4 linked regions of the Drosophila melanogaster genome follow. The protein of the gene in region 3 interacts with the protein of the main gene of each other region in a pairwise test. Each region holds a gene or a part of one and is shown on either strand. Other genes may lie near its edges.

Region 1 (4,047 bases), 320 kb from region 3:
TAATTTTTTTTCTTTTGATTGCTAGGCTTATGGATGCATTTGCTGCTGAGCTCCTGACGGGGCGGATATCGATTTTTCCAGCGATTTTCCAGCGCTTATCGTGCCTTTTTTACCAGGTCCCCTGAGACGGCTCCTCTGCGCCACCTCCATCGCCAGCTCCTCGCCAAGGGCACTTAGTGGGTCGTTTTAGCAGGCGGTTATTGCTTTTAATTTGTGTGTAAATATATCTGGCTGCTACGCGGCGTTTCCTGAGCGCTTTGGCCAACTTGCTGTGGCTTTGGAAGACTTGAAGTGACTGAAAGCCGTGCGCATCCCGGAAAATCTTTGCAGCAGCTTTTTCTCTACCATGCGACGCCTGTGATTGGCCCCCGAATGAATGAAAGAAGGGGTGGCGAGTTGGGCGCTGCGGCGGCGCATGTCTTTTCTTGGATGTGGTTTACAGCTGTCGTGCGCTGGCCGAGATTTGAGCAGGCCTTCGGTTTGTTTAAGAGCTTATTGATTTGTCCACTGGGCGCACGTTTTGCTTTAAATTACATAAGCTATTAAAAGCGTGGTACTTACGCTACGCGTCCGAATTCATCTTTGGCCAGATCTGTTTTGCCCTGTCCCATCAACTTCTGGCGGAAGGAGTCCACCTGCGACTTAATTTCCTCCGGGGTGCGTCTGTAATAATTCAATTTTAATGGATAAGATAATTAGCGTGGCTCTATATCTAAAGTTCGTAATTCTACCTTTAAGACTAGCTTGATTAGCTCAAAAAAGGCTTAAATATGGATGATGTTTCACCTATCTAGATTGTTAAATTAGCTAAGGAGTGCTTAGATTTCAGTCCGCTTGCCCGGACATGCGGATGTCTTTCACTCAAAATAATCTCTACAACTGAAATGCACTTTTTTCACCACCAGCCGAGTTCGTGCCACCGGAAGAGTGCTCACATGTGACGCACCGAGCGGGTGGAGGAAGCCCTGCCCGCGTAGGGGTGGCTCGCCAACGGGCTGGGGGTAGTTCAGTGCTCAGTTCGGCGCGTGTGCGTCCGCTCTCTGGCGTGCAGGAGCAGCTACCAGGCGCCAATGTAAACATAAACAGCGAAGGAAGCAACAGCCCCAGGCCGGCGTTATATAACCCGGATTGACATTACATACTGGCATGTAATTGCCCATGTCCCCTGCTCACCCCTGCTTCTCGAGAATGTCCTCCAATTCCAGGCACTTGACTTCGATCTTGCGCTTGCGGTCGTGGTCCAGGATCTCCTTGTTCGGCGGCCGGTTCAGCTGGGCGTCCAGCTTCTTCGTGTCGTCCTCGGCGCGGTAGTCCTTGTCCTTCTTCCCGGGCCGCACACATGCCCAATTCCGCTGCACGTGCCCATTGGTGCCGGAGCCACGGGGCGTGGTCAGGCCAATGCCGTTGTACATGCTGGTCTGCGATGTCCTGCAAATTCCTCTTAACTATCAACGACTCCCGGCGGCCACTGGGTGCTCCACCAACGCTGCAATTGCACCACACGAAAAATCGATTTCAGTTGCAGTGCAAGTGGTGTTCGACTTGTCTGGCTTTCTCACCTCTGTTATATGTCCTGCGGCGCTGCTATCCAAGCGCTGGCTTTACTAGGCTGCCTAACTTTTCAGTAGTTTATTCCTTTTTGTCAAAATATTCGACTAGATATGCGACAATATGCCGCCCTCAGTGTGACCAGATGACAAATGTCGCCTAAATGCTCCCTAGCTGTCAATTCCACAATGAAGCTAACATGAGTGGATCCTGTTCAAAGCAACGAAGTGGATGTTATCAGTGAAGTGAAAATCGGCGAAACGGGCACACTAATAGCTAAACGTAAACAACAATATTACACTTATTTTATCTTAAGAAATATATAGATTTATTAGTCTAAAATCATGAGCGATGCAGAGGAAACAAAAGCAGAAGCCACCACCAAAGTGTTGTTCAAAAAAGCCGGTCGAAAAAACCTAAGGCAACGCAAGAATTCAGACGAAGAAGAAAAGGAGGAACAGTAAGCCGTCAACAATTAGAAATGAATTAAACTAAAGTGTTCATTTCTATACAGATTAACGCTAGATGAGATTAAAGAACGCCAGCGCCTCAGGCAGCGACCCAATGGCGTCAGCCTTGTGGGACTGGCGCTGGGCAAGAAGATCGCGCCAGAAGAGGAGCTGGCCATCAAGGATCCCTTTAATGTGAAGACCGGTGGTCTGGTCAACATGAAGCAGCTGAAATCGGGCAAGATGAAGGAGGCGGACGACGCCTACGACGTGGGCATTGGCACGCAGTTCTCGGCGGAGACGAATAAGCGGGATGAGGACGAGGAGATGATGAAGTACATCGAGCAGGAGCTGCAGAAGCGCAAGGGAGGCGGCACGGAGGACGCAGCAGAGGACGACGGTGATGTAAACAAGTACCTGACCCCCGAGGATGCCGCCCTGTACGCCCTGCCCGACCACCTGAGGCAGTCTTCCTCGCACAGATCGGAGGAGATGTTGTCCAACCAGATGCTCAATGGCATTCCTGAAGTGGACCTGGGCATTGTGGCCAAGATCCGCAACATAGAGGCCACCGAGGAAGCCAAGCAGAAGCTGCTGCAGGACGCCAAGAACAAGAAGGACGGACCCTCGCAATTCGTGCCCACCAACATGGCGGTGAACTTCATGCAACACAATCGATGTGAGTTCCCAAGTGTGAAACGTTTCCGCGGATACTAAACCTTTGTTACTTCCAGTCAACATCGAGGACAACAGCGATCAAAGGAGGCGCAAGCGTGAGGAAAGGGAGGGCAACAAATCCGCACAGCATCAGACGAATCCCAATGGAGTCAAGCGAGCCACAGATGACTACCATTATGATAAGTTTAGGAAGCAGTTCCGCAGATACTAAAGATACGAGTGCCAGCAATAAAATGTACAATTGTTTAGGTTCAGGATTCTGTTTTATTTCTATATATATTTCAATTAAATGTACTTTAAGAATTAACTCATTAATCCATTAATCGGGCCACTTCTGTAAAAATAAAAGCAAACACTTGGTTAGTTATGCTTCACAACGATGAACATATTTGCTTTTATGCTTGCAATCAGTGAGAGACAAAATTAATTTCAAAGCAACGAATGACTGAGGCTCAATGAGATTCCTACTCAAAATATCATCACAATAAAGAAGTTGTCAGTAACTAAAACAGATACACACCTTATAAGAAGTTAGTCCAGAGAATCGGGAAACAATGGCGCAACTGAAATGAATTAAAAAAGAATTGTTAAATAAAGCGCTTTAAGAGAAGCCATTGTTGTTTGAAATGATTTGATCAGTGGGAGATTAAAATTGATTTCATAGCTACAGGTAGCTCAATGAGATTCCTACTCGAAATATCATCAGAGCAGATTACAATTCAAACTACTCCATCCGAAATATACACACCTTGAAGAATTTCATATCCAAGGATCCAGATACGAGCCAGATTGAAAACTGAAACGAAATAAAGTCTTGATTAGCTTGGTTTGGTTGAGTTCAGCTTCCTTGAGCATAATGCTATCAGTGGAGATAAAATTGATTTCATGGTTATTTCAATGAGATTCCTACTCGTAATATCATCAGCTAAGTGTTATACATTAAAATTACAAAATAAAACTTTAATTACCTCTTCGTTTAGCAAGTTAAGCTTCCCATTTAAAGACAGCCTGCGATAGAAGGTAGTATTAGCAAATTGAAAGATTGCTTGTTATTAAAAACTCACCAATTTAGAGCGCTAAAACCTGAAGTATCCAATCTGAAAGAGAAAACTGAAAGAAACTCAGAACCCATTGAGCCCACATTGAAAACCCACACTTAGTTTTTGAGTGGTTTTATTAAACCCAGACAACTTTGAAACGTTCATCCTCGCTCTACCGTGTCAGCTTAGCATTACTTTGTTTATAGAAAAGAATCTACATATAAAATGTAGAACGCGATGCCCATTCCACACGTTACCGCAGATTGCAGCGCTTATATGATGCCGATCTTGTTGGCAATGTCCAGGGCGTCGTAGTCGCGCGCCAGGCGCAC
Region 2 (6,882 bases), about 19 Mb from region 3:
GTAGACGATCACCTGGGCCTGCGGTGTGCTGACCACGTCCACCGCATGTAAATTCGTGATGGGCGATCCATCTGCGGAGCTTAGCGCCGGACTGGCATATTGCACCGGATAGGATCCCGCCGGAACTGGCACTGCCAGCGGCACCGGACTGGCATCCTGTTGGTCTACTATCGTTGCCCGATACGGCTGGCCATCCTTCCGCGTCACCTTGACCTTCCGGCCATCAATGGTGTAATAGGTGTCCGGTTCTGTGTCTGCCTCGGCGATCTCCTGTTGCAGTTGCTGGTGGAGCTGCTGCTGTTGCTGCTGCGCCGCTGTCTGTTGTTGCTGCTGCTGCTGTTGCAGTTGGATCAGGTAAATCGAGTCGTTGTAGGCTTTTAATTGCTTTTCCTGCTTAATCTGCTACAGCGCACCGTACATAGATTGAATCGGAATCGGAAAGTGTTTGGTTTGGGATTGATTCGACATAGAGAGGCTAGACTTAGTCTATGCTTTGATGGGTTTATTGGAAGGGATGTTATGTTAGTATGCGATAAATGCGATAGAGCCTGCGGGGTTTTAATAAGTGTGTGTGCTTCCCCAGAAGCTGGCGTAAACCATAATAGAAGAGTGATCTGAAAGCCGAACGTAAAACAAACGAATTCTACTCACCACTTTGTCGGCCACCAGGTTTAGCTGTTGCTGTTGCGCCTGCTGCTGTTGCTGTTGGGCCTGTTGTTGCTGCTGTTGTGCCTGCTGCTGTTGCTGCTGTGCCTGCTGCTGTTGCATGGCCAGGAAGGTGTTCGATATCATGTTCGGCGTGTTCCAGGTCAGCGACGTCGACGTCAGGGCCACCGTTGTGGGCGATGGTGAGGCTCCACTCGACGAGGAGTTCTCCCCGTAATAGTTCGAGGCAACATTGTTGACTACAGCAGCCGCTGCCGCCGACACGGCCGCCTGGTTCTGGAACGAACTGAGCTGCTTGTCCAGCGAACTGGGCAGCTGCAGCTGGCGGTGCGGCGTGCTCACCGCTGACGAGGCATAGTGGGCGGGCTTAGGCTGGACACTGGCCGCCGCCGCATGGTGGTAGATCTGCTGGAATACTGGGTTGTAGCTGCCAATCGGTGACGGAGGCACAAAGCTGCCACCACTGGCGGCCGCCGCATTAAAGCTGGCGATGCTTGCTGCCGTAATGGTGGCCAGGTGTGGATGCTGGAAGTCCTCTGCTGTTCCGCCGGAGCTTCCGGCACTGGCGGGCACGATGCGGTTGTAGGCGTATGACCAGGGACTGGAATTGGGATCCATGTTTGGCTTGGGCTCTTCTACTGCTGATGGCTGGTAACTGAAACAAATAGCAAAACTTTAGTGGTTTTTGAATATAATTAGCGGCTTATATGTAAAGGATTAACTAATTGGAGTTTATTATTGCTCGGATACATTTCCAATGGTCATGTGTTAAGTCTAAAAATCCCGCCCATATTTATCAATTTAGCGGTAGCTTAGATTATAACATATTTATATTGTTATCACAAGTTGCTTGCCATGGCATTCATAATATAGAGGGGAAAAAGGCGCGAATTCAATTAATGTTATTTATGGATCAATAATAATTACTATAAAATTATTGATATTTATATGTGGTCAAACATATTTTGTTTATCTTTTATTGTAAATCAATAAACACATAGTAGAAGTACACTTTAGAATGAAACACTCCAGTTTTGGGGTGTTTGTTCCCCAACTTTTCTGCACTGAAGGGATCCCCCTATTTTTTTCGTATCTTCATTTTTTTTGTATCCCTTTTGGCCACGATGCGCTTGGTTCCCCCTTCAAAAAAATTGGCGTCTGTATTTTTTGCCTTGGCGCTCGGCGGCAAGGAGACCGCATTTTTGAAGTTTCAGCGTCAATGGGTTAATGTGGGTGCTCACTTATGACATTACAATGACGGGGCCATCACATTGGCTGGGATTTATGCTGTTTTTGGCAATGTTTTTCTGCCTGGGAATAGGATTTTTTCCCGTATTTTCCGCTTGTACATATATGTATCCATGCACACAATCACACACACACACACACATACTCACACACACGGGCGTACATGCGTGCGTGTTGGAAGATAGTCACTAACTTTTAGTCGTTATAGAATCGGAACTGTCGGTCTGCTCGGGCCCAGCATTATCTTCACATCGGATCGGCCAGCACAACAACGCTTCAATATGCACGAGCGGATTTTATGTTTAACTAACAGCGAACGTTCTTTTTTTTAGATTCGGTGCATAACTTTTTTGTGGATGAAACAATCTCCAAAATGGCCGCTCTGCTGCCAGTGAAAAACGAACCACTGGCTCAGGTGAATGATGCCACGGTGAACTTGTTCATCGGTTCACTAGTTCGCGCGCCGAGTGTTTATTGTTTGTTTTGCCGTCGTCCTCGCATTTCGTCTTTGTTAATTTCCTCAAAAAGTATACTGCGTCTTGTGTTCTTCGTGGCATAGGTTAGTCAAAAACATAATTAAGTCATGTTGTGTGAACAATTCACCGTGAAATTTGACCAGCAATTATATTCCCATGTGCTATGCAATAGCAACAAGTGTTGTATAATACGCTTTTTATCGGGTCTACAGTCATTACTAGTTAACTTTGTTGTGTATTTACATTTTACGAGCATTTATTAAGGCACATTTGATAAGATATAAACAAATTAATCGTAACTCCTCTGAAGGTTGTGTTTACTGAACTCGCGCGTTTCCTAACACTGATCAATTGGAACTAGTTGATTTCAAAAACCATGAGAACTTTACAAAATCTGAAAACAAAAAAAAAAATAAAATAATTCCAAACTTAAATATTATATTAAATCTAGGTTTTATTAACTATATGTACGGTTCTAAATTATATATGAACGAATCAAGCCACCACCATTACACATTTTGCAACACTAATTGACCAGAAACCCAGTGGAAAATTGACGCTGCTGATATAATTTAAAAGTTTAGTTAAGGAAAAATTAAATGTTCTTACTTTGGTTTTTTCAACATACATTATCATAAACTTGTAGCTTAATAATACAAAATGTAGCTAAATCTTTAACTCGTTATCCGTGATGTTAAGGAATGTTGAATTCGGCTTTGACAAGTAAAATAGTTAACAATGGTTTCTGTTCCTTAAATATTACTAATTTGTATACATTTAAAAGATTTGGCATAATAACTGGTGTAAAAAAATATTTATTTTTTAATATAAAAATCATAACATTAAATTTAAAACCATCGCGTTGCGATATATGTTGCATTATCCAGCACTGTTCGGCTGGAACCAGTTCGATAGCCCGCTGTTTTATGGTTGGTTCACGTACTAATGACAGTCATTTTACGTATTCATTGCTAAAAGAAAACTGAAAAAATACATTTGACCAAGTTTCCGGTTAGTCATCCGCCCACACCGATCTTCAATTAGTCCTAACCGAATCAAAGGAGAGGTGCGTAGTGCCCAATTGTCAATGAATCGGGGGGAATCCGCCAGCAGCTGGCTGCTCCTCTGCGTACGTGTAAATCTGGGTGAGACGCCCACTAAATAGCAATCACAACATTTCCAGAGAGCACATAGCCATGGACTTCGGAGACGATTTCGCTGCCAAGGAGGACGTGGATCCGGCGGCCGAGTTCCTGGCGCGCGAACAGTCAGCTCTCGGGGACTTGGAGGCGGAGATTACGGGTGGATCTGCATCAGCTCCTCCGGCTGCATCCACAGACGAGGGCTTGGGTGAGCTTCTGGGAGGCACCGCCTCCGAAGGCGATCTGCTCTCTGCTGGCGGCACGGGTGGCCTCGAATCCTCCACTGGCAGTTTTGAGGTCATTGGTGGCGAGTCCAATGAACCCGTGGGCATATCCGGTCCGCCGCCGTCGCGGGAAGAGCCCGAAAAGATACGCAAATGGCGCGAAGAGCAAAAGCAACGACTGGAGGAGAAGGACATCGAGGAGGAGCGAAAAAAGGAGGAACTCCGACAGCAGTCCAAGAAGGAGCTGGACGACTGGTTGCGCCAGATTGGCGAGTCCATATCGAAGACCAAACTGGCGTCGCGGAATGCCGAGAAACAAGCCGCCACCCTGGAGAATGGCACCATCGAGCCGGGCACCGAATGGGAGCGCATAGCCAAGCTCTGCGACTTCAATCCCAAGGTGAACAAGGCGGGAAAGGACGTCTCCCGCATGCGATCCATCTACCTGCACCTCAAGCAGAATCCCATCCAGGTGCAGAAGAGCACCTAGGTAGTTTTAATTACGCACTCGCCTAACCACATTGAGTTGAATATGAAAATTATTATTGAAAGTATTCGCTGTATATTCCAATTTATGATACATAAAATATTATTATTGCTGCTATAACATAGCCGCGATCATCGTTTTGTCTAATGAATGCAATAAAGAATGTGCACACAGTTGTCATGCTTTCCTTGACTATCATATACCCCATCACACAAAATAAGAAAAACGACATGAAAAAGTTAGGAAAAAGAACAAATAAAAAATAAAACCAAGGATATGACAACTAAAGTGTTTTTTCGTTCATTTTGTTAATCAAGCAGGGTTGCACATCAAGGGGCTTTAATTACTTCCAGTTTTGTTGTAAATAATATTTATTGCTCTATAAAACGCATTATACAAACCATTTATTATTCTTATCTCTAGTTAGTTATACACATACAACTTGTTTTCATCATATATGTGTGTTGGAAATATCAATGGGTTGGAAATGGAATATGGTTGTGTATGGATTTGCATTCATTAAATGATTATTAAAATAAAGACATACAGACAACTGAGGCAAGTATTTGTCATTGCAGAGCTGGTTTAATGTATGCATTATATGAATGAAATACGCATAAAGAAACCAATTACGATAATGAAAAGTGGATATCAGAAATCATAATTTAATTATTTCCATCGCTTAATAAGGTTTTCTACTTGTTTTGCAGAAATGGCTGAAGTTTCCGCTCAAGATTTGATATCCCAGTTGTCGAAGTCACCCGAAAGCCACAAGAGAAAGGAATATCTGCATTGGGATGACTACTTTATGGCCACCTCACTGCTCTCCGCCAAACGCAGCAAAGATCCCGTCACCCAAGTGGGCGCCTGCATCGTGGATTCCCAGAATCGGATAGTGGCCATTGGATACAATGGGTTCCCTCGCAACTGCAGCGATGACGTGTTTCCGTGGTCAAAAGCTAAGAAAGGCTCGCAGGAATTTGATCCCCTGGAAGACAAGAAGATGTACGTGGTCCACGCGGAGGCCAATGCAATCCTGAACAGCAACGGCATGAGTTTGTCTGGAACTCGACTGTATACCACACTATTTCCGTGCAACGAATGTGCCAAACTCATTATACAGGTAAAACTAATATTAACGAAGGAAGCCGAATATAGGATTTCTGTTCTATTATTTGAAATGCAACTTTAATATTTTCATATGGCAGCTGTATAATTTAGTCGTCCTATTTTGATAAAATGAAAAACGAATTAATATATGGAAAAACAACGGTTGTGTACAAAATTACACCAATATATGATCACAAACATGGAAGCACAATCTTTCCAATAGTTTCACGGCTTCAAAAAGGTTTTAAGTTTTTCGTTAAAACGAAAGGACGACCAAACGGACGGCAGCTTTATGAACTCATCTTCTAAAATTGATCAAGAATATATAGTACATACATATCATAACATATAAATTAACCTATTTGTATTCCAGGTGGGCATATCTCAGGTGCTATATTTGTCCGACAAATATGCCGATAAGCCCACATATCGTGCATCCAAGCGGATGCTGGATGCAGTGGGCGTGGAATATAAGCGACACATCCCCCAGAAAAAAACGATCACCATTGATTTTGACACCTTCCCGGAAGAAGATCCGAATGCATCCCTGGGACTAAACGAACTCCATTTGTAATGTACTAATACAATCTTAGCTATCTTGACAACTTTTAATGTGTTTAAAGTAAATTTGACGTGATCGGACTAAATATGTAGACAAATGATAAATAAATTTAATAGCATGCTAATTAAGTTATACTTAGTTTGGCAGTACTAATATAAATAAAAAAATACAGTTTAACTAAAAAGCAAAACGTAAAACGATGTTCTTTTCTATCTGTGAGTCAGAAAAATGCTTCGGAAAATGAGTTCCCTGTAATCGATATTAAAATCAAAATCCAGTAAATCATTGAATCTGACCACTTCCTTTGACGTTTGTTCAAATATGTTCGTAAAAGTATAGTCAAAATCAAAAGCAGAACTTATCTAGATCCCAAAACGTACATATTCTAACCTAATAGGGAATAAAAAACAATAGTTTTTCGTTGAGTATTGCTCCTTTTTTGCAGAGCATAAACGATTAGACGCTTCATTTTATCCGCACGCAAAGATACTTAAAATGTTTTTTAATTAGTACCCATTTGGGAAGAGTGTTCACTTGCACTAATTGACTTGGCAAACAGAAGACTGTCAGGTGAGACTCTTAGCATGCACAGGTGTCCACCGGAGACCAAAAGCGCCATGGAAGTGCTCTACTCAGGTAAAAGTACATGGTATTTTCATATTGAATCTTGGAATTAAATCCCATAATTCATTCCTAAAAAGTTAAATTAATAATTATACTGATCGAAAATTAAAAACAGGGTATATGTGTAATGGAAACTACTCTGTGCCACTTTATAGCTCCGTAATTAAAGGACCTTGAAAATTCTATTGCTGGCCCACACATTAAATTAATTAAGTTAGCCACTTTTGAACTTTGATGTTGTGTTGGCTAAAAATTCGCATGCAGCCATTTTAAATACCGGGCTGAGCAAAATGTTTATGGGATGTTTTTCAATGGCATGCCAGCACGAAGGAGCTCCCACCTG
Region 3 (5,578 bases):
TGCAACTTCCTCCAAGTGTCCCTTTGCGGCCATGCATCAGGGCAGCGGTCTTGAGGCGCCGGCTAAGGACAACGGAAACGCAGCCACAGCCAAGTGCCCGTTCCTGCAGAAAACGGTCCAAATGTTCGACTACGCCGACGAGGAGCAGCCGACGCCGCAGCACTCGGTGCTCATTGAGGATGTGGAAAACCTGTTCTGCGGTCTCTACCAGCACGCCTGTCACAGTCGGGGCATCTACGAGAAGGCCAACCAGCTGGGCAAGACGCTGGCGGAGGACCTGATCAAGCGCGGCGCCCTCGACGTGATGAAGGTGGCCCAGGCAGAGATTCACGGCAAAGTGGCGTCGTCTTGAGCCCGTCATCAATATCATCGTTTACATTAAGTAGAAAAGTGTAACTAGACAAAATGTTTTTCATTTCCGCCTCGTTGTTGAACTCCCGTGGAGAACTCATGCTTCCCCTGATTTAACATCGGTATTGTATTCAATCCTTCTGCTCTCCCCGGCGAATGCATCGTTAATGGTTGGTTTCCGCGTAAACGTTATTTTAGTTTTGTTTTTGTTTCGGGAATATGACAAATAAATGTATAAGTGAACTCATATTGTGTCATTTTTTCTCTCCACTGATTGAAACAAGCAATTTCGTAGCTTTTTGCCATTTTTTATTAACAGTTCATCGCTCAGTACAAATATGTTTATTACATTCAAGCTAATTTATATACTCTTGGTGAGTACAAGTGGTGTAACCAATGCGGTTATAATAAAGTCTTAATATACAAATTAAACTTATCTTTTGAATTGAACTTAATAATAGTTAAAAATGTATGAAGTAACCTTGTTATAAATTGCAGTTTTCATCGACTTTTATCAACTTTATATAGACCCTTTCAAAGTTAGCCATTGAAAATTCAAAGAATTATACTTAACATAGCAATAAGCTAACGTAAAACTACATTGGTCAAGAGAATGAAATGAAAAACAAAAATAAAAGGGAGTCTAGTGCAACTAGTGGCGCTTGCGCAGGTGCGAGGATAGGAAGTTGGCCTCCGTGAAGACCTTCTTGCAATTGGCTACGCCGCATGGAAGTCCACCTTCGGAACCACAGTTCGAGAAGTGAGCCACGTAATCCATTTGGTTCTGGTAGACTTCCTTGCATAGGGTGCACTGTAGTTTGGCGGCGTGCTTTTTCTCCATGTGCGAGTCCAAGCGTTGACGCGATTTGACGAACTTCCCGCACCGGTCGCAGCTGAGGGTCGACTCGTCGGCTGTTGAGTCACCAATGGACTCCAGGCGAGCCTTTTTGTGCGGCCGCACGTTGTAGTTGATTTCTTCCACTATGTCTACATCAGATGAGGGGAGCGTGTCCTCAGATTTGTCTTGTTTTTTTCGTTTTTCTGACTTTGCAGGCGAATTGCCATTGGTTGTGGACACAGACAGATCTACGTGACTGGTCTTCTTTGTCTTTTTAGCTGGCGACCGAGGTGCAATCATGCCTCCATCGACCTGGTGCTGAATGTTGTTCCTGGATCGTATAATCTTTTCTTCTGCGGGTCCTTCATCATCCTCCGCGGTGTTGTCAGTCTTAAAAGCGTCCACAATTTCCACAACCTCATCCTCTTCTTGCAGAATCTTTCGGTTGGTGAACTTTGCGGCTTTAGTAGGGCTTTGTTGTGATTTCTTAGGTCCTTCAACCTTCTCGGCCGTGTTTTCAATCTGAGTCGTACCCAGAATGTCTACGTCCTCATCCTCGTCCTGCAGAATCTTTCGCTTGCTGGAGTTCGGCGCTTCAGCACCGTCGGCATGTAGAGTCATGTGCGTTTTCAGCGACTGTTTGGTAGCCAAACTCTTCTCGCAGACGTGGCACTTGAAAACCTTTGGCTTGTCGATGCTGTGGACGGTCTTCATGTGCTCCTGCATCTGCTTGGCGGTCATCAGCTCACAGTCGCAGATCTCGCACTGAAAATTATTCGAATCCGCCCTGGGAGTGGAGGCGCTGGATCCATTGATGGCAAATGTATATTCCGAGTCGATCACGTTCTCTAACATCCTTTTCTTCATTAATGACTCATTTAGCGCTTTAAAGGAGGCGATTTTGGTAGCCTGGGTCTGGTCTGCGTCCTCACTATCTGTGCCCTTTTTGTTGTTCACTTGGTCGTCGATTTCGTCAACCACTTTGGTTTCAACATTACATTTGATCTCTGTCTTTTTCTCTTTGGACTTTTTTTCTTTTGGCTTCTTCCTTTGACTCACAGCATTGGTCTCCTTTGCCTTTGCGTCAATTTTATTCTTGGCCCCTGACTTAGCCTCTTTTTCCTTGCTTTCCTTCGCCTTAGTCTTAGCCTCGCTTTCAAAAGTGCGTGAGTGAGTGTCCCTTAAATGATTTTTCAAAGTCTTAAGCACTCCAAAAGTCTTAATACACAAGGTACAGGGGTATATGCGTGGTCTTTGAAGACCGTGCTCCTTCTGCAGATGCTCCTTGTACGGTTTGGGAAACTTTGCGTGAAATTCGCACTCTGGACACTGAAAGTTATTTGTGTTAATGGTGATAGGACCTTTATCCGAGTCCTCCTCTTCCTCGCTCTCGGTCAGTACTTCGATGGCATCGTTGCCGCCGTTGCCAAAGAGATTAAGGAAAGCCTTTTTAGTAGACGACACCTCTTTGGCGGGCGTCAGCTTAACCGAATCGTTAAGATTATCCTCGAAGAGTCGAGATATCTGCTTTTTAGGGGTCTTATCGAGTTTCTTGGGCGAAGCACTAATGATCTCGATTTCTGTATTAGTATTAGCTCCATTCACAAAGCTTGGCGGGAAAGCTGCTATGGACTTGCTGCGCTGACGGAGGGTGGTGTTCTTTTTTGGCACCTTAACCGCCTTCTTATCGCTTTCCTGTGTCGATGGCTCCTCTATTTCCGCTACCTTAGTCTTCTTGGCGGGCTGCTCCTGTACCCTGTCCACCGTCTCGCGGACCTTCTCGATTAGTGCCGCGCTGGACATGAATGTGGAGGTGCAGACGAAGCATATCTTGATGGGCAAGGATGATGGGATCTGAAATGGGATGGGATGATTTAGATGACGAGAAGGGAAATCAGAATGCCGCCATTTCCAACTCACGCTTCTGTGGGTGATGGTCTCCAGTACGTCTGTTATTTTCCTGCCCAGGAACACCTTCTGACCTGAAAAAACACTCTTGGACCCTTGGCTTGTGCCGCAATGGTCGCATCGCACCTCTTTTTGCACCTTGGTCATATTTTCACTAAGTTTTCCAGCAAAAACAAAAACAGAAATCAAACAACGTGCGCACGTTTTTTTTTTTGCGGGGCTACAGTTACCAAACACTGCTATCTATGTTAATCAACTGCAGTGCTGCCAGACCGAGTCACCAAAATATACCACATAGTGTGCTTATATATTATGGTTGCACGTTAAAAGAAGCAACTGCAGAACGTTCGCAGAACGAATCTTAATCTTAATAATTTTTGCATCAAATTTAGAAAGAGTGTAGAAAACAGTTTTTAAACTACCTATAATGGCAGTAGCAACTTTAAAAAATATTACCAAAGCAGTATATTGCGCATTCCGGTCACACTAAGTTACATTAACATTCTGTTAATGCTCACGTCGCGTTATGCAACAGCTTTGCGTGTCGATATATAATCGATAACTCTGAACTTGGTTTCCAATTTAAAAATAGTTTATTTAGGCATTAGAAGCTACAGTAATGCAAAATGATATGTTTAGTTTGTTTCTTTGTGTTGGTGCTGACCTGGATGGGCTGTGCCGTTACTTTGTCTTGGATTTTTTGAGTCGGTTCCCGCGCCTGCAAACAAAGAGATGAAAAATGTTATGAATGACAAGGACATGGCAAGGGAATGCGCCAGGATCAAGCGGTTCGCAGTTTTCATGTCTTAAACGTATAGCTTTATTTGAATACTTTCTCTGCTCCTCCTTTCTCTTTCTCTCATAGGCATAATATTGTATAGTACTGTGTTGTGTTGGATTTGTTTCAGTGTACGGTTGGTGTACTTAGCCGACGTTTAGTTAACTAGGCATTACTAGGTATTGTTCATGTTGTTTCTGTTAAATATACTTAATATAAATATGTATTTCCTTTATTTGTTATCCTCCTGGGCCCATCCGATTTCATATGGATTCATAGTGCCTCGCTTTCGGGGGTGGTTACTTGAATTTTGTTAAAGTGTGGGTTACACATATAAAAAATATTTGCGTCCTCTCACGCTACACGTTTATATAAATATGTTTCTTGGGATTGGGACTGCACACTTACTCTACTGGAAAAACCATTGAATAGTCTTTCGCCTTCTTCGTTCTCTCGTTCTAATACAAAATGGTTTCGCTATGGCAAAACCTGGATTATAATTAAATCATACACCTATACTTCGCTTAGCGACTTAGTAAACCGATTTTAGTTTAATTTGATTTGCAACTAGCCACGTGCAACTAGTCCACGGTCACAATTTGAAAAAAGAATCACTTTATTTTGATTTCAGATCGATCGGGGGCGAGTGTGCGAAATGAACAATTTTGATTATAACACTCCTTAAAAGCGTTAAACGAGATATAGGTGTACATCGAGCTGTTTTGTTTAACCGTAAGTTATTGCTTTAATGGCGCTGAATTTCGATTCATTAATAAAGTGCTCGTTTAAGGGGGGACAGGGTCTTTAATTTTAAACACAACAATTCAAAGTTAGTGGTAGTGGTAGGCGGGAGGCAAAGTAAAATTAAGAGTCGTTTAGGACACTTCGTACAATTCTCCGATTCGGTTCTTTTTGGCACATTGCTGCACTTTATATTTTGCCATGTACTACAACAAGTGGTGGTTTCTCATAATCTTCATAAATAAATATACATAGGTCGTATGCTATAAGAAATTGCTGTACAACAACAAGTGAAGCGTGTAGTGGGTGGTTGTCGGGTGCTTGAAACATTGGTAGTTATGATATTCTTAATATTTTAAGCATAGCGAGCAAGTAGGGTGAGCTTTGCATTTGGTATGGCTCGTTTGGGGCATCTGGTCGGTTATCAATCCATTTTTAGAGTGTAGAAAATAAATTTGATCTAAAATGTCAGTCTATTGCGCAAAATCTACATTTGACGTGATTTCTACCCGATTTTCGTTAGTTTAGTTTAGTTGCTTCTTTTCTTTCATTTGTTTCTTTTGTTTTCCTTCTTGTATTTCGTATATAAAAAATTCCCTAATATTTATGCATCTTGTATCGTTCGTTCAGCTCAATCAATCCGCCATCCGCAATTCGTGTGCGATTGCATGGCGTTGCGATGCGATTCCGTCCGATCTCTGATCCTTTCCGATCCGTTGCACGTCGTCCTTGATTCGTTGCCCGCATTAGATGCCGGGTCAGGCGGACGAGCAGGTGGGGATCGGAAGTCGGAAATCGGGTATCAGGGGAGGAATCGGTCTCCTACGGCAACTAAATACGTCATACAGCTATTGCTACTACTGATCTACGACTACTTAGTGGCTACGGGGCACTTAACCTAGCTTCGTGTATGCGTAGGCGCAGATCACGCCCACCACAACACCAGCGGCAATATATGTGAG
Region 4 (3,394 bases), on a different chromosome or scaffold from region 3:
ATCTTCGACACCTGTGATGCCAAGAAGGTGCTAGAGAAAATGATGTGGGTTTAGATATTTTCTCAGCTAATCCCCAACTAATCCCTACATCTCTTTGGCAGAGAGTTCAATGGCAAACTAAGCCTACCTGATGGAAGAGTGGGAGAGGAGGTCTTGTTGGCCGTAATCAAACTCGCCGATCAATCGCCTGAGCTCGATCTGACCTCCCTGGAAGCTCTGGCCATCCTGCTGAAGTGGCCGGCGTCCATGCAGTTCCCCGTGCTGGACATCCTTCGCCTGGCCGTGCGAAATGAAGCCATCTTCAGTGTCCTGAACAACAGTCACAACTTCCTGGCGACCGTTATCCCTCAATTGAGCGGCTCGGCACCCAACCAGCTCATGGTGGTGCGCTGCCTGGCCAACATCATGAGCCACGCCGCCGGCCGGCAAAATGTGATGTCCCGTCTGGCGGAGATCATCGATCTCGTGGGAGCCATCAAGACGGGCAGTGCCAATCTGCAAATTGCCGTGGCCACCTTCTATTTGAACCTCACAATCTCCCAGACTCTGGACGTGGCGAAGTCGGAGGTGTGTCATGTGGTCACCTCCGGTATTGTGGAGCTGCTCAAGTGGGCCAAGGACTTGGAAGCGTGCTACCGTTCCATGCAGGCCATCGGCAACCTGACCACCACTTCGTGCGGCCAAGAGACCATTGCGCAGGTGGTGTCCGTGGACTATGTGATGGACAAGTTGAGGGAACTTACCATTACTCCGCAGGACAAGAACTTCAGCAAGGTGAATTCTGTGGGCCAGGCCCTGCTGGCTGTGTTCTAAGATCTCCGCCAAGCAACTTCTTATGATCATTCTAAATTATACATATATTGGAGAACTTTTTTTCTAAATACACACAAACGCTATTCTTTCTTGGAATGCTGATGACTCTCGCGCGACGACGACGTTGAGGGTTCGGGTGGATGGTGCCGGTTGTTAATCCGGTCCAGCAGCTCATGCTTCCAATGCTCCTCGGGCACTCCTCTGGCCCAATCCGGCACTGTGATGTTGGGTAACGTTATAGTGGACATCGCTTTGAGTATCTGGAGTGTCGGGATGAAAGTTGCTGGCATGTCTCGCAATTGTAAATCGGAATGTCTTACCTGTTCCGTTCGAGTTTTGTCAAGATCCATTTGGAGTTCCCTGGGTCTTGGTTCACTCCAGACTTGTCTCTCGATTTCCACGTCAGCGGGCTCAATGGCAGGCATGTTGGGGTCTCCGTGGGTGACTGGGGCAGTCATCAGGTCAACATCTTCGTCATTATCCGCGGACGGGGTCTCCTGCTCCCTGGACATCTCCTCGGGATCCGCTGCATCGTTCTCCTCATCCAAAGCGAGTGGTTGGTAGCCGTCGTATGCATCCGAATCATCGTCATCCTCGCTCTCCACCCCTCCCCGTGGATGGTCAACCGGTGGGGTTGGAAGTCCCTCTTGACCGGGATCTGAGGGCAATTCTGGACTTCCCATTATTATTTTTACGACTTTTATTGTTACTATATTATTTGGTCATCGATAACGATAACGCCAAGCGGCCAGTGCTGTGAAGTGCAGAGATGAAAAATACCGTTACGCTTTCATTAAAGCCCGAACTTTTAAGATTTAAATTTTTACGATTATTTGTATTACAAAGTAAACACAGTCTTAAAGTAAGGACATAAAAAATTTTCAATACATGTATGCAGGAGCAGGAGCCGTGGCAGCCGTGCTGCCCGCATCCGATGCACCAACTTTCTGGAGCGGAACAATCATGGACTTCATGTCTCTGTTCGAGGTCTTCCGCAACTCCGTAGCCGCGTGCTGCAGCTGCAGGGTGCAGTCGTTGCTGGCTCCGTTCAGGCTGAGATGGGCGCACTCCTTCTCCAGCAGCATGGCCAAAGCCTCCAGCAACTCGACGAATCCCAGCGCCAGGGCAGCGCGGCGGATGCGATTGAGCTCCTTGTAGAAGTGCTGCGTCTTGTCGGGCATCTTCTTGGCGTGTCGCAGTACCTTCTGGACGTCGGACTGCAGGCTAGCCTGTCGTATCCACACCACACTGCTCTGCGAATAAGATCTGCGGTCGGCACGCACCGGAAAACTGGCCGTCTCTCCGGGCGCCAAATCCTCGGGGAAGCCCAGCGATTCCAGGTCTCCTAGCCAGGGAATCACGTTCGTGCCGGGTGGAAGTATGTTCAGCATCAGGTTTGACTTCTTCTTGCTGTCGGTGAATGCATATATGAATCCGTACCACTTGTCACCCACTCGAACCAGAGCTGCCATGTTCTCCATTTTGAGGGCTCCGTGAAGGAGGACGCACAAGTTTTCTTTTTGTTGCTCTGTCTGGGGGCCGGGTTTCAAGACAATGGTCACATCGTCGTCGCCACTTTCCTCCGTGTCTTTTGAATCCTTGGCGTAAAACTCTTTGATATCGGCTTCCAGCTTCTCCAGCTCGTAGTTGGGATTGCTGGTATCTAGATTGAGCTTCGGTGGCTTGGCTGCTGCGCTCAGGTTTCCAGACCTCCGACTGCTGCCGCTCTTCTCCCGCTCCACTTTGGGCAGCACCCAGTGTCGACTCAGGGTGGCCGGTGATCCAATGTCCGAAAGGGACAGGAAGCCACACACCTCAATCTTCTGGTCTGTGTGGCGAATGGTGGGTTCTCGGCCGAATATGTGGGACTTTTGCTCATACGGAGCCGTCGGTGGCCAGAGCAGAACAGATGCCTCCATGCGGAAGTAGCTGCCGCATTTCAGGGTCACCTCCGAACTCTTGTAGCTGGCCTCGCAGAGACGTTCAATTAGTTCGAAGACCGTAGTGCGGCCCAGTTCGCTTTTGTGGCTGGGGTTCGGGTTGGGATTGGGATTTCCCTCGACTGCATCGCTGCTCTTGGCGGGCTTTGTCATGAAGAGCTGGCCTGGAAACGTAGGTACACCATTAGTTACATGAATATCTTTGAATAGAGTGCAGCTCACCCTTCAGTGAGACCTTGTCCAGCAGCTGCTGGTACACCGCCAATCCCCTGGTGAAGTAGTAATCGCCGTGCAGGCCCAGGCAGATGAAATTCAGGTTGTAGTTGGCCAGAGTCTTCAGGAAGCCGAACTCCGGCTCCGACTCCTTTTCGGCGTAGGCCTCCAGGAAGCCCGTGATCGAGGTGTTGCCAAAGCCGAGGCCGCAGTCCGTAAAGACAACCACCTGCAGGATGTTCTGGTTGCCCCACGGCGACATTATGGACACCACCGCCTTGAGCATGCTCATCAGGCAGGCCTTGTCCACGGGCTCCACCTTCTTGACCGCCTGCCGCACCTGGTCGTAGTCCCGCGTGAAGTCCACCTTCAGTTCCGCCGTCGTCGAATAGGAGAGCAGAGCAACGTGCTCCAATTTGCCGGCCGCC

What was found.
Region 1: the proteins of indra (region 3) and CG7974 interact in a two-hybrid assay, tested with the Drosophila melanogaster proteins (one large-scale study listed by BioGRID).
Region 2: the proteins of indra (region 3) and CG6951 interact in a two-hybrid assay, tested with the Drosophila melanogaster proteins (one large-scale study listed by BioGRID).
Region 4: the proteins of indra (region 3) and CG14341 interact in a two-hybrid assay, tested with the Drosophila melanogaster proteins (one large-scale study listed by BioGRID).

The regions. Positions count from the first base shown.
Region 1 is NT_037436.4:1,663,359-1,667,405, forward strand, and holds CG7974 (uncharacterized protein), read left to right. Parts: upstream 1-1,779; 5' UTR 1,780-1,892; coding exon 1,893-2,008; intron 2,009-2,062; coding exon 2,063-2,676; intron 2,677-2,731; coding exon 2,732-2,886; 3' UTR 2,887-3,236; downstream 3,237-4,047. Other genes in the region: Srrm234 (Serine-arginine repetitive matrix 2/3/4), read right to left, coding at 562-663, 1,174-1,412; RpL23A (ribosomal protein L23A), read right to left, coding at 3,988-4,047.
Region 2 is NT_037436.4:20,239,212-20,246,093, forward strand, and holds CG6951 (uncharacterized protein), read left to right. Parts: upstream 1-2,055; 5' UTR 2,056-2,329; intron 2,330-2,351; exon of another isoform or gene 2,352-2,473; intron 2,474-2,633; exon of another isoform or gene 2,634-2,692; intron 2,693-3,294; exon of another isoform or gene 3,295-3,586; coding exon of another isoform or gene 3,587-4,246; exon of another isoform or gene 4,247-4,524; intron 4,525-4,953; 5' UTR 4,954-4,955; coding exon 4,956-5,366; intron 5,367-5,726; coding exon 5,727-5,927; 3' UTR 5,928-6,101; downstream 6,102-6,882. Other genes in the region: CG17233 (uncharacterized protein), read right to left, coding at 1-402, 652-1,284; Clc (clathrin light chain), read left to right, coding at 3,587-4,246. UniProt on the Drosophila melanogaster protein: Supplies the nucleotide substrate for thymidylate synthetase.
Region 3 is NT_037436.4:1,338,819-1,344,396, forward strand, and holds indra (indra), read right to left. Parts: upstream 3,586-5,578; 5' UTR 3,574-3,585; coding exon 3,554-3,573; exon of another isoform or gene 3,252-3,553; coding exon 3,110-3,251; intron 3,044-3,109; coding exon 1,004-3,043; 3' UTR 642-1,003; downstream 1-641. Other genes in the region: Hmbs (hydroxymethylbilane synthase), read left to right, coding at 1-352; Ptp61F (protein tyrosine phosphatase 61F), read right to left, coding at 5,510-5,578. UniProt on the Drosophila melanogaster protein: Required for rDNA copy number maintenance and non-random sister chromatid segregation (NRSS) following unequal sister chromatid exchange. Binds ribosomal DNA (rDNA) preferentially binding to intergenic spacers (IGS) regions on both X and Y chromosomes.
Region 4 is NT_033779.5:1,164,662-1,168,055, reverse strand, and holds CG14341 (uncharacterized protein), read right to left. Parts: upstream 1,551-3,394; 5' UTR 1,497-1,550; coding exon 1,134-1,496; intron 1,074-1,133; coding exon 894-1,073; 3' UTR 845-893; downstream 1-844. Other genes in the region: Plap (phospholipase A2 activator protein), read left to right, coding at 1-44, 102-813; IntS14 (integrator 14), read right to left, coding at 1,695-2,917, 2,976-3,394.